Neurospora crassa OR74A: one gene and its partner. The protein of the gene in region 1 binds, or shares a complex with, the protein of each later gene. Links are inferred from orthologs where the notes say so. Each region holds a gene or a part of one and is shown on either strand. Other genes may lie near its edges.

Evidence for each region. Proteins that work in one complex are often made in the same cells at the same time.
Region 2: the proteins of NCU02414 (region 1) and NCU01468 are in contact, whole or in part, in a crystal structure (PDB 5B04), measured with the Schizosaccharomyces pombe proteins. The link is inferred for Neurospora crassa OR74A from reciprocal best matches to the Schizosaccharomyces pombe genes tif225 and tif224. Residues at the interface, in NP_594285.1 of Schizosaccharomyces pombe: Lys267, Glu268, Tyr308, Arg310, His311; in NP_594503.1 of Schizosaccharomyces pombe: Arg295, Tyr331, Ile332, Gln334, Glu335, Glu410, Lys412.

What each region holds. Positions count from the first base shown.
Region 1 is NC_026507.1:2,573,187-2,577,252, forward strand, and holds the start of NCU02414 (translation initiation factor eif-2b epsilon subunit), read right to left. Parts: upstream 2,808-4,066; 5' UTR 2,586-2,807; coding exon 2,427-2,585; intron 2,343-2,426; coding exon 261-2,342; 3' UTR 1-260. UniProt on the Schizosaccharomyces pombe protein: Acts as a component of the translation initiation factor 2B (eIF2B) complex, which catalyzes the exchange of GDP for GTP on the eukaryotic initiation factor 2 (eIF2) complex gamma subunit.
Region 2 is NC_026505.1:4,638,667-4,642,700, reverse strand, and holds NCU01468 (translation initiation factor eIF-2B subunit delta), read right to left. Parts: upstream 2,730-4,034; 5' UTR 2,415-2,729; coding exon 1,863-2,414; intron 1,807-1,862; coding exon 967-1,806; 3' UTR 512-966; downstream 1-511. Other genes in the region: nuo10.4 (NADH:ubiquinone oxidoreductase 10.4kD subunit), read left to right, coding at 162-406; NCU01469 (hypothetical protein), read right to left, coding at 3,252-4,034. UniProt on the Schizosaccharomyces pombe protein: Acts as a component of the translation initiation factor 2B (eIF2B) complex, which catalyzes the exchange of GDP for GTP on the eukaryotic initiation factor 2 (eIF2) complex gamma subunit.

The DNA.
Region 1 (4,066 bases):
TCATAAAATTATCACAGGCATTCGTGCTCATACAAAGGAAGATGTGTTGAGAGCGAGGAGTATGCGGATGTCAAATTTTCCTTCATTTTCCCGTCCATCCATTCTCCCCTTCCCAAAAAGAGAACACAAGCAATATCTCGAGGTCGCAGGTGCTGCGGGTATAAGTTCATCTACACCTCCCCCTTTTCGTTCTTCCACCCTTGCTTCCTTCTTCCAAATAATCCATCCCTCTTGAGCATGCACTTCCATTGATAACCCATCTAGTCACTATCCTCATCCTCTTCATCACTGTCTTCGTTGCTATCCTCCTCATCTGCATTCTCCAGCCATTCGACCAGCACACGACTCCTCTCCTTGATCTTGGAGAGTGTATCATTCTCTGCAGCCCTGGCATCCGCCCACCAGGCGAGAATACCTTCCTCCTCGAGAACGTCCAAGTTATAAAGCTGCTGCAGCATGGCGGCAAGTAGCGTTCCTGCGCGCGCAGAATCAAGCCCCTTAATGGCTGCCAAAGCTTTCTGCAACGCGAGGGCAAACTCAGCGTGGAGATCGACCTTGTTTCCGCCGACGCCAACCTCTGTAATGAACTTGACGGCACCCTTCTTGGACGTAAGAGCCCGGCCAGCGGCCTTGGTAGGCTCAAGACCGCCGTTTTCGGGACTCATGAGCTCGGCGGCGCGAGTGGCAAAGGCTACGGCAATGGCCTTGCGCATCATGCTGTCCGAAGCATTATTGGCCAGTCTCAAACCCATGAACTCCAGCTTCGCAGAGTCGAAATCCTCGTTGTCGTCAGCACGGAGGGCATCTACAAGTCCGTGAACAGCGTCACCATGAAACTGGTCGAGCTTCATGACGGCGGCAGCGGAATCGTCAGACGCGAAGGAGGATAGGCGCTCCCGGTTGGTCTTGGCTTGGAGGCCTTGCTCGTACTCGTCATCCGAGAGGTCATCATCGGAGTCATGGGTCGCTAATGTGGAGATGGACTCGCTTGAAATGTTGAGGCCAGCCAAAGAGTAAATGAGAGAGCTTTGGAGAACTGCGGGGTCCGCATCGCCTTCATCCTCGGAGTCACTATCCTCGTCGTCTTCTGGCTCTTTATATTGGGCTCCCTTGCCATCGTTTCCGACCAGTTTGATGTCGGTCTTGACCGGCTCTCTTTCACTGGTAAAGAGGGATATTCTCGGTAGGGGTTTGGATGAGAGTTGTGTTCCGGCGCTGATCCGCACACCGTAGGAGATGAGAGAGCCTTGAGGAATGTAGCTGTGCTTACCAATGACTGCATCGTTGGCTACAATGGAATGCAGAACAGTAGCACCGTCTTCGATGACCGCGTCATCCCAGATATAGCTGTTCTCTATCCTCACGTTCTTTCCGATCTGGCACCTCCTTCCGATGATACTGCTCGAGATTGTGCTGCCGGTGTCGACATAGGCGGTCTTCCCTAGTACGGATTTGGTTACTGTGCTGTTTTTTGCGATGTGTGCGCCATCCTCTAACCACAGACCCCGTTTGTACTTGTAAGTTTGTCCGTGAAGAAGGTTGCTATCGGGGACATACGGTAGCGCCCAGCGGTGGAGGATATCCTTGCTGATGCAATCATACATCTGAAGGTTGCTGGCGCGAGCCCCGTAGCCTTCCTCAAGAATCTCGGCGCTGATGATCTTGCCGTTGAGCTCCCAGTCTTTCAGTACGCCGTGAAGGAAGTTCTTGCGGGGAAGCTCGTAGTCGAAGCTCTCGGACCACAAGGCCAAAACATCTGGCGTGCAAATATCGATGCCACAATCGATCAGATCGGTGCGTAAGTCGAACTCAGCATACTCGAATACCGACTCGTCCAACTTGACATACTTGTCCTTCTGAAGTGGGTGCATCTCTTCATATTGCAGACAACGGCCGTTGGTGGGGTCGACAACAAAGACAGGAGTAATGCCCCGGGCCTTTGCAGTCCGGTGAGGGCTGTCTCCTGTTGAGCGCAAGACGATGGTCATGCAGGCGTCTCTGTTGGCCTCTCTCCTTGCGCGGTGCCTAGCCAGAATACCATCGAGGGGGATGTTTGCGACAACATCGCCATGAATCAGAATGAAGTCACCCGAGATAAGACTGCGCTTGTCAAGATCTCGCAAAAAGTCACCGATGGAGCTTGCGTCGGACACGCGGATGAAGTCGACAGAAGAGAAGGGGCAGAGATTGCTTTCAGGGCTCCATCGGTCAGAGTCGTGGATGTAGGTTTCGACGTCTTCGGAGTGGGCGCCGCAGTAGATGAAGACCTCCTGGACGCCGTTGGAGGCTAGATACTCGAGCGTGTATTCGATAACGGGCACGTTGACCAACGGAAGGAGACACTGTCAGGAGAAGGCCGTCAGTACTCAGAGGTCACCAGGGACAAGGGACACGAAGCATTTAGCACGAAGCATGAAGGCATTTACCCTGGGCTTTTCAAGCGCGAAAGGCTGAAAGCGATCTTGGAAAGAATCGGCGAGGATGACGGCCTGGAGAGCATCTTCTCTCTTCTCCTCGGCGCCGCCCTTGGCGGGCTTTTTGGACTTATTGGCAGCCCCGCCCTTGCTGACTTGCTTGCCCGACATTGCCAACTGAAGTCTATTTATCAGCTCGAACTCTACAGGAATGGGTCGACGAGGGCCTGGTTGAGTAAGTGGCCGCGGATCGGGAAGCGCGGGGAAGACTGTGGTAGAAGGAAAAAGGTGGGGCTGCACAATGTCAAGAACGGCGCGTTTGAACTTCAAAGCTGGGGTTGATGATGCGCCTGCCTCGGCCGCCGTGCGGTACCAAAACCTTGCAATGATGAGTCAACGCAGTGACCCAATTTGTCCAAACTTTCACATTGTGTTTTCCGTAAGGTACTGCATGCTTGGAGGTGGGGCGCAGGGCTATCACCTGTGGCTTGTACGTACCATCGGGGCCTTAAGTTTACCGTACCGCGTACCAACTGCACTGAGCCTTACAGGTGGTAACTTTCATCAGTGGAAAATTGTGGCGTTGGAAATCACTAGCCGCATTTGGGCTCCCATCATATCGATCATGACAACTGAAGTAGCCGCATCAAGCACATCATAGCACCGGCACTGAACAGTACTTCGTGTCCTAGTCGTGTACACTACAACACGATAGTGCTTAGCATCTCCCTTGGCCGCACAAAAACGGCAACATGTATGAAAGGGAAGGTACTAAGTAGTGTGAATAGTACACTTGAGCCCTGGAAAGTTCGTTAGCTCGGTACATACAGGGGTTTTGACAAGGGAGGCGACTAGGGATAAATCCAATCAAATTACGCATACGAGGCCCGCACAGGAAGAACAGGGACAACAAAGCTACCGTAAATCAATCAATTTCACATACTAAAACCAGGGATTCTCAAATACCACAATTGTAACCGTAACCTCAGCCAAATCAATAGTCGGTATACCCGCCTTTTGCCTTAATAACCGCCTCAAGCCTTCTAGGCATTAAATATACTAAGCAAAGTAAGTAGTCCTCTAATACAACCTCCCAAGCCTTCTCGATAGCCAATTTAAAGCTATTCCCAATCAGTCTAATTAGGTATTCACACTCAATCCATCTCTTCATAAAGGCCCAAACGTTCTCAATAGAATTAAAATCAAGGGAGTAGGGCGGCCAATCGACAATAGTAGCGCCAACAAAAGCATCCTTTATAAATACCTTCGTTAACTTCGAACTATAAGCTAGTGCATTGTCTTACATAACGACAAAAAACGAATTCTCTTACCAAAATTACCGCAGAAAAGGGAAGACATACTTCTAGTAAATATCGCTAGTAATCGTACCCCAATCCTTATAATTCCAAAAGAGGAATGTACCCTTTTTTTTACCTATAAAGTAAATCTAAAATATCCATCCCCGAACTCTAATTTTAATTTTAACGAAGTCGCTAACCTTCTCATCCTTAAAAAGGGTAACGAAATAACAGCTTTAAGTAACGCTATTTACCTACGTCTCATTAAACTAAATCCAAATCTCCTATTCCAATAGGGTAAAGCCGGCGTACCATAAAGCAAATTTAAAGTGGAAACGACAGGTCTTATCGCTT
Region 2 (4,034 bases), on another chromosome or scaffold:
ACCACATCAATCCTCCACCAATTGATACTCCACATGCTGTCACAAACGCCCATATTCCTGGCCTATCTGTCTTACTCTCTTGACTCTCTCTCTCCCCCTCTCTCCATCTTCATGTCCACATCATAATCGCTAACTGCCGCCTTCCAACTCTGCTCCTTCAGGCTTGGCTACCCGCGCCTGGTCATTGGGCATCGAGCGACGACCCATCCTCGGCAGGAACACCCTCTGGGGCTACCCCGTCTTCGCGGCCATTGGCGCCAGCTTCGGCTATTGGGTTCAGGGAGTGGACGAGCGACAGCAAGCTATACTTCAGGAGCGCAAGCAGGCCATTCTCGACAAGAGGGCGCGGAGGGCGGCGCGGCAGCAGGAGCAGGCCCACGGTGAACCCGAGGCGGCGGCGCATTAAAAGGGCTGATACGGATTCTCAAAGTTCCCGGTAAAACGGTACGGGGCGAGGGAGAAGGATAACCGACATCGATGGACGCCGAAATGGGATGGGGAAGTCTGAGAGTGGGACCTCGTGGAATCACAGTACACTGGGGAAGAGAGAAAGAGGGACGCAAGGGCAGGTAGATAGATGGGCAGGAAAGGGAACCCACAGGACCTATACGGCACGCCCAGCTATTGAAGAAGAGAAGTCAGCACATGATAGACATGCTACAGGCAGACACAGCAAGCAGGGAAAGAAGTGTCTTGACAGTCGAGTTCGTTTGAATTCAATGCTCTGATCTCCCTTCCCGTTTTTGCCTTTCCCTTTCCCTTCGTCTTCTCCCTCGGTTATTTGCCCCAGGTTCGCTTCGCCGCAAACTATGCGGTCGTGTTGTAAGCCCCGTTTAAGATGCGGGTATCTCTATTTACCTACTCTAGCTCTGTGACCTAGCTGGCGCGCCACCACCGGCTAACAACTCTTGCAGTTTTCTGCCTATCTCCTTCATCTCACCGTCACCCTCTCCTATACTCTGCCGTTTAAGCAATGGTAGGATCCTCCCGCTTCCTTAACAGCGTCAAGATAGCCTGCGCCGGAGCGAAATCTGTACCGCTCTCAAACTCGGTAATCACACCCGCAATGTACTTGCTGTGTGTGTTATCAAACATCAGCCGGAACGACTCAGCCGAGCATCGCTCGGGGTCAATCTCGTTGTAGGTGAGCGAGTCCACCGACACACGCTCGCGGTCAAAGTTGATAGTCTCGCAGAGGGCCACCACCTTGACGTTGGCGGCAGAAGCGGCCATGGCGACGTCCGCCGTTCCCGCGGGGGCATGCAGAGATCCGTTAGCGAAGATGGCCTCGGTGCCGAGCAGCACGTTGCTCGCCCGCTCAAGGTGCGCCCGCACGCCGCCGAGGTTGGGCGAGTAGAAGACGCGGATGCCGGCCTGCTGTAGCGTCTTGGCGAGCTCCTTGCCGCCCTGGTCGTACGGGTCATCAATGACGGACACGGCAAAGCTTTTCCCGTTGGCCTTGGCCCGCAGAATGGTCTTCTCTACCAGCCGGTGGCGGCCGTACGTGAGGACGACGCCGTCCTCGTCGATGAGCTCGGCAGCGTTTTTGGAGATGACCACCTCGGCCAGGGTGATGCGCTCGTTGATAAAGATGTCGATAAACTCGAGGAGGGACTCCTTTGCTTCGTCCTCGGGCGTGTCGATGTCGAACTTGTTGACTTGGGACTTGAGGAAGCGGATGGCGTTACCCATGGAGAAGGACATGGGACGGCATTCGGTCAGATACTCGATCTGGGGGTTCAGGACATGCGGGACAAAGTGGCGTGACAGTGAGTTTCCCTTTGGTGTTTCGTAGGACTCAATCACCTATTGTATGTTTGGTCAGTCTCCAGTCCACACAGTCCGGGATCAAGGTTGCCAACCTTCTTGAACGCCAAAAGGGTCGCCTCCAGCCTGGCAATGCTATCCTTCAGCGCAAAAGTAGCCATCTGCTGGCCGACCGCCAGCACGGCAGGGTGCACGTCCTTGTGCGCCTGCGACGTCTGTATCCGCTTGGCCATGGCCACATGGCTAAAGCACTCGGGAATGCTACTCCTCGGATCCTCCTTGATGATGGCAACCGAAGGCCGCCTTCCGTTCACGGACGGCCTGCGACCGGGCACAGATTTGCCCTGTTGCTGAGACCCCGCGGACTGACTACCCTCCTGCTTGCCGCCCTTGCCGCTCTTGCCCCCCTTTGCATCTGCTACTGCGGCCGCTGGTGGGACTTCCTTCACTTCCTTTGCCTTTGCCCGTCGTGCTGCCTTCTCGGCCTTAGCCTTGGCTTTTAGCTGGGCGGGAGTGAGCTTCTGTTCGCCGGCGGCGTCTCCTCCGGTAGTAGCTGGTGTGTTGGCAACAGTGGACTTAGCTTGTTGCTTCCCCTTCTCCTGTGGTGCGGGAGCCCCAGCGGGAGCCCCGGTGTTTTCGACAGCCATTTGTTGTTGTATGAAGTGGAAGATGCGATGTGCTTGGCGAAGTGTCGCAACTGTTGTTTAAAGATCAGATGGGATCCGATTGGGTGAAGGGCGCAGTAAAAATTGCGTCGCGAGTTGACGAGTACCTGAGGACTCGAGTGACAGACAATGAACAGCTCAGTTTGTGCTTTGAGATACAAAATAACTGTACCGATGCGCAGGGGGTGCTGATAGCGATGGTTGTCCCTTTTTCCCTCTTTCCCGTTTTGTTGCGTCAGCACAATGCTAACTCTCAAACTGCTCAGTGCAAGATCATCTGCCAGATTCTGAGAACTGAGTCACGGATGCGTCCAAGAGGTCGTACCGCCAAAAACACCACCCCGCGCTCCGCTTTTTGTCAGATACCAGCCAATCACCAGTCGCAGATTCCGTCCAACCTAGCCAACGTCACTCAAGAACTCAGCTTGTTGCTCCAGTTCGTTACAATTCATTAGCCGCCTCCTCACTTTGAGATACTACTTATTCAATATAGTCTCGCTCTCCCAAGATGTCTATGGCAGACAGCACACGGATCAGCTATAAGTCAATGCCTCACCGCTAGAGACTCACCCGCAACCCTCCAGCTTGATCGGTAAACTGTTTGTTATCTTTTAATTAATACGCAGACGTCGGACCTGAGTTCCGTTCTCCATCTAGCATTGTAACACATCGATCCGGTCCATACTTGTACATATTTACATAGCACTGAGAGCTGCACGCTGAAAGCGCCATACTCCCACTTTGCACGACCTCTATAACAACCCAAGCAAACCAACATATAACCTCGTATTCCGACAAGCTAGCCATCTCCAACGGCGCTTATTCGTCCTTCTCATCCTTCTCCTCCTCCTCAGCCGCTGCATCCTCCTTGTTCTTCTTAGGCGTAGGGCCTTGGAAAACCATCCTCACCACCTTCCCAACCTGTCCATCCATCGGCTTCACCTCCTGAACCTTGGGTACCTCGGCAACCGCCTCTCTAATCATGCGCACCACTTCCTGGCACTCCTCCTGCGTCGCCGTCTTCTTCTGCTTCTTATCCTTCTTTTGCAGCAGCATGATTTCCACCCTGTGACCCTTCCGCAAGAAATTCTGGAGCTGCCGTGTGCGGAATCCCAAGTCGTGCGCCGCAATTGCCCAGTTGATCTCCAGCTCCTTCTTGCTCACTTGCTTTCTGCGTTCCTCCTTGGCCTTGGCCTGCAGAGCAGCGGCCTCGGCGCGGCGGTCGACGATGACGCACACGGGCCAGTCGGGCAGGTTTTCGTCTTTCTCAGGCTCGGGCTCGCCGGGCGTGGGCTTAGGCGGCGCCCATACCATCGCCAAGCTGTATCGGATGCGATCCAGCCGGTTGATAATGTCCGCTGGCCGTTGCTTCTCCGTGAGCCTGCCGTCGAGGCCGCGCAGGTATACCCAGGGTTCTTTAATCGCCAGGTCGCGGGGCAGGCCGGCGTCCTTCTTCTCGTCTTGACCGGGTTTTCGTTTTCCCCATTTCACCTGGAGCGCTCCTTGAGTCGAGAATGGGCATCGTGTCTGGTTGAGGATGGTAGCAGTCGCGGCGGCAACTGAGAGGCGAGGAAGTAAAATCGTCTGAAGCAGCAGGGGTGC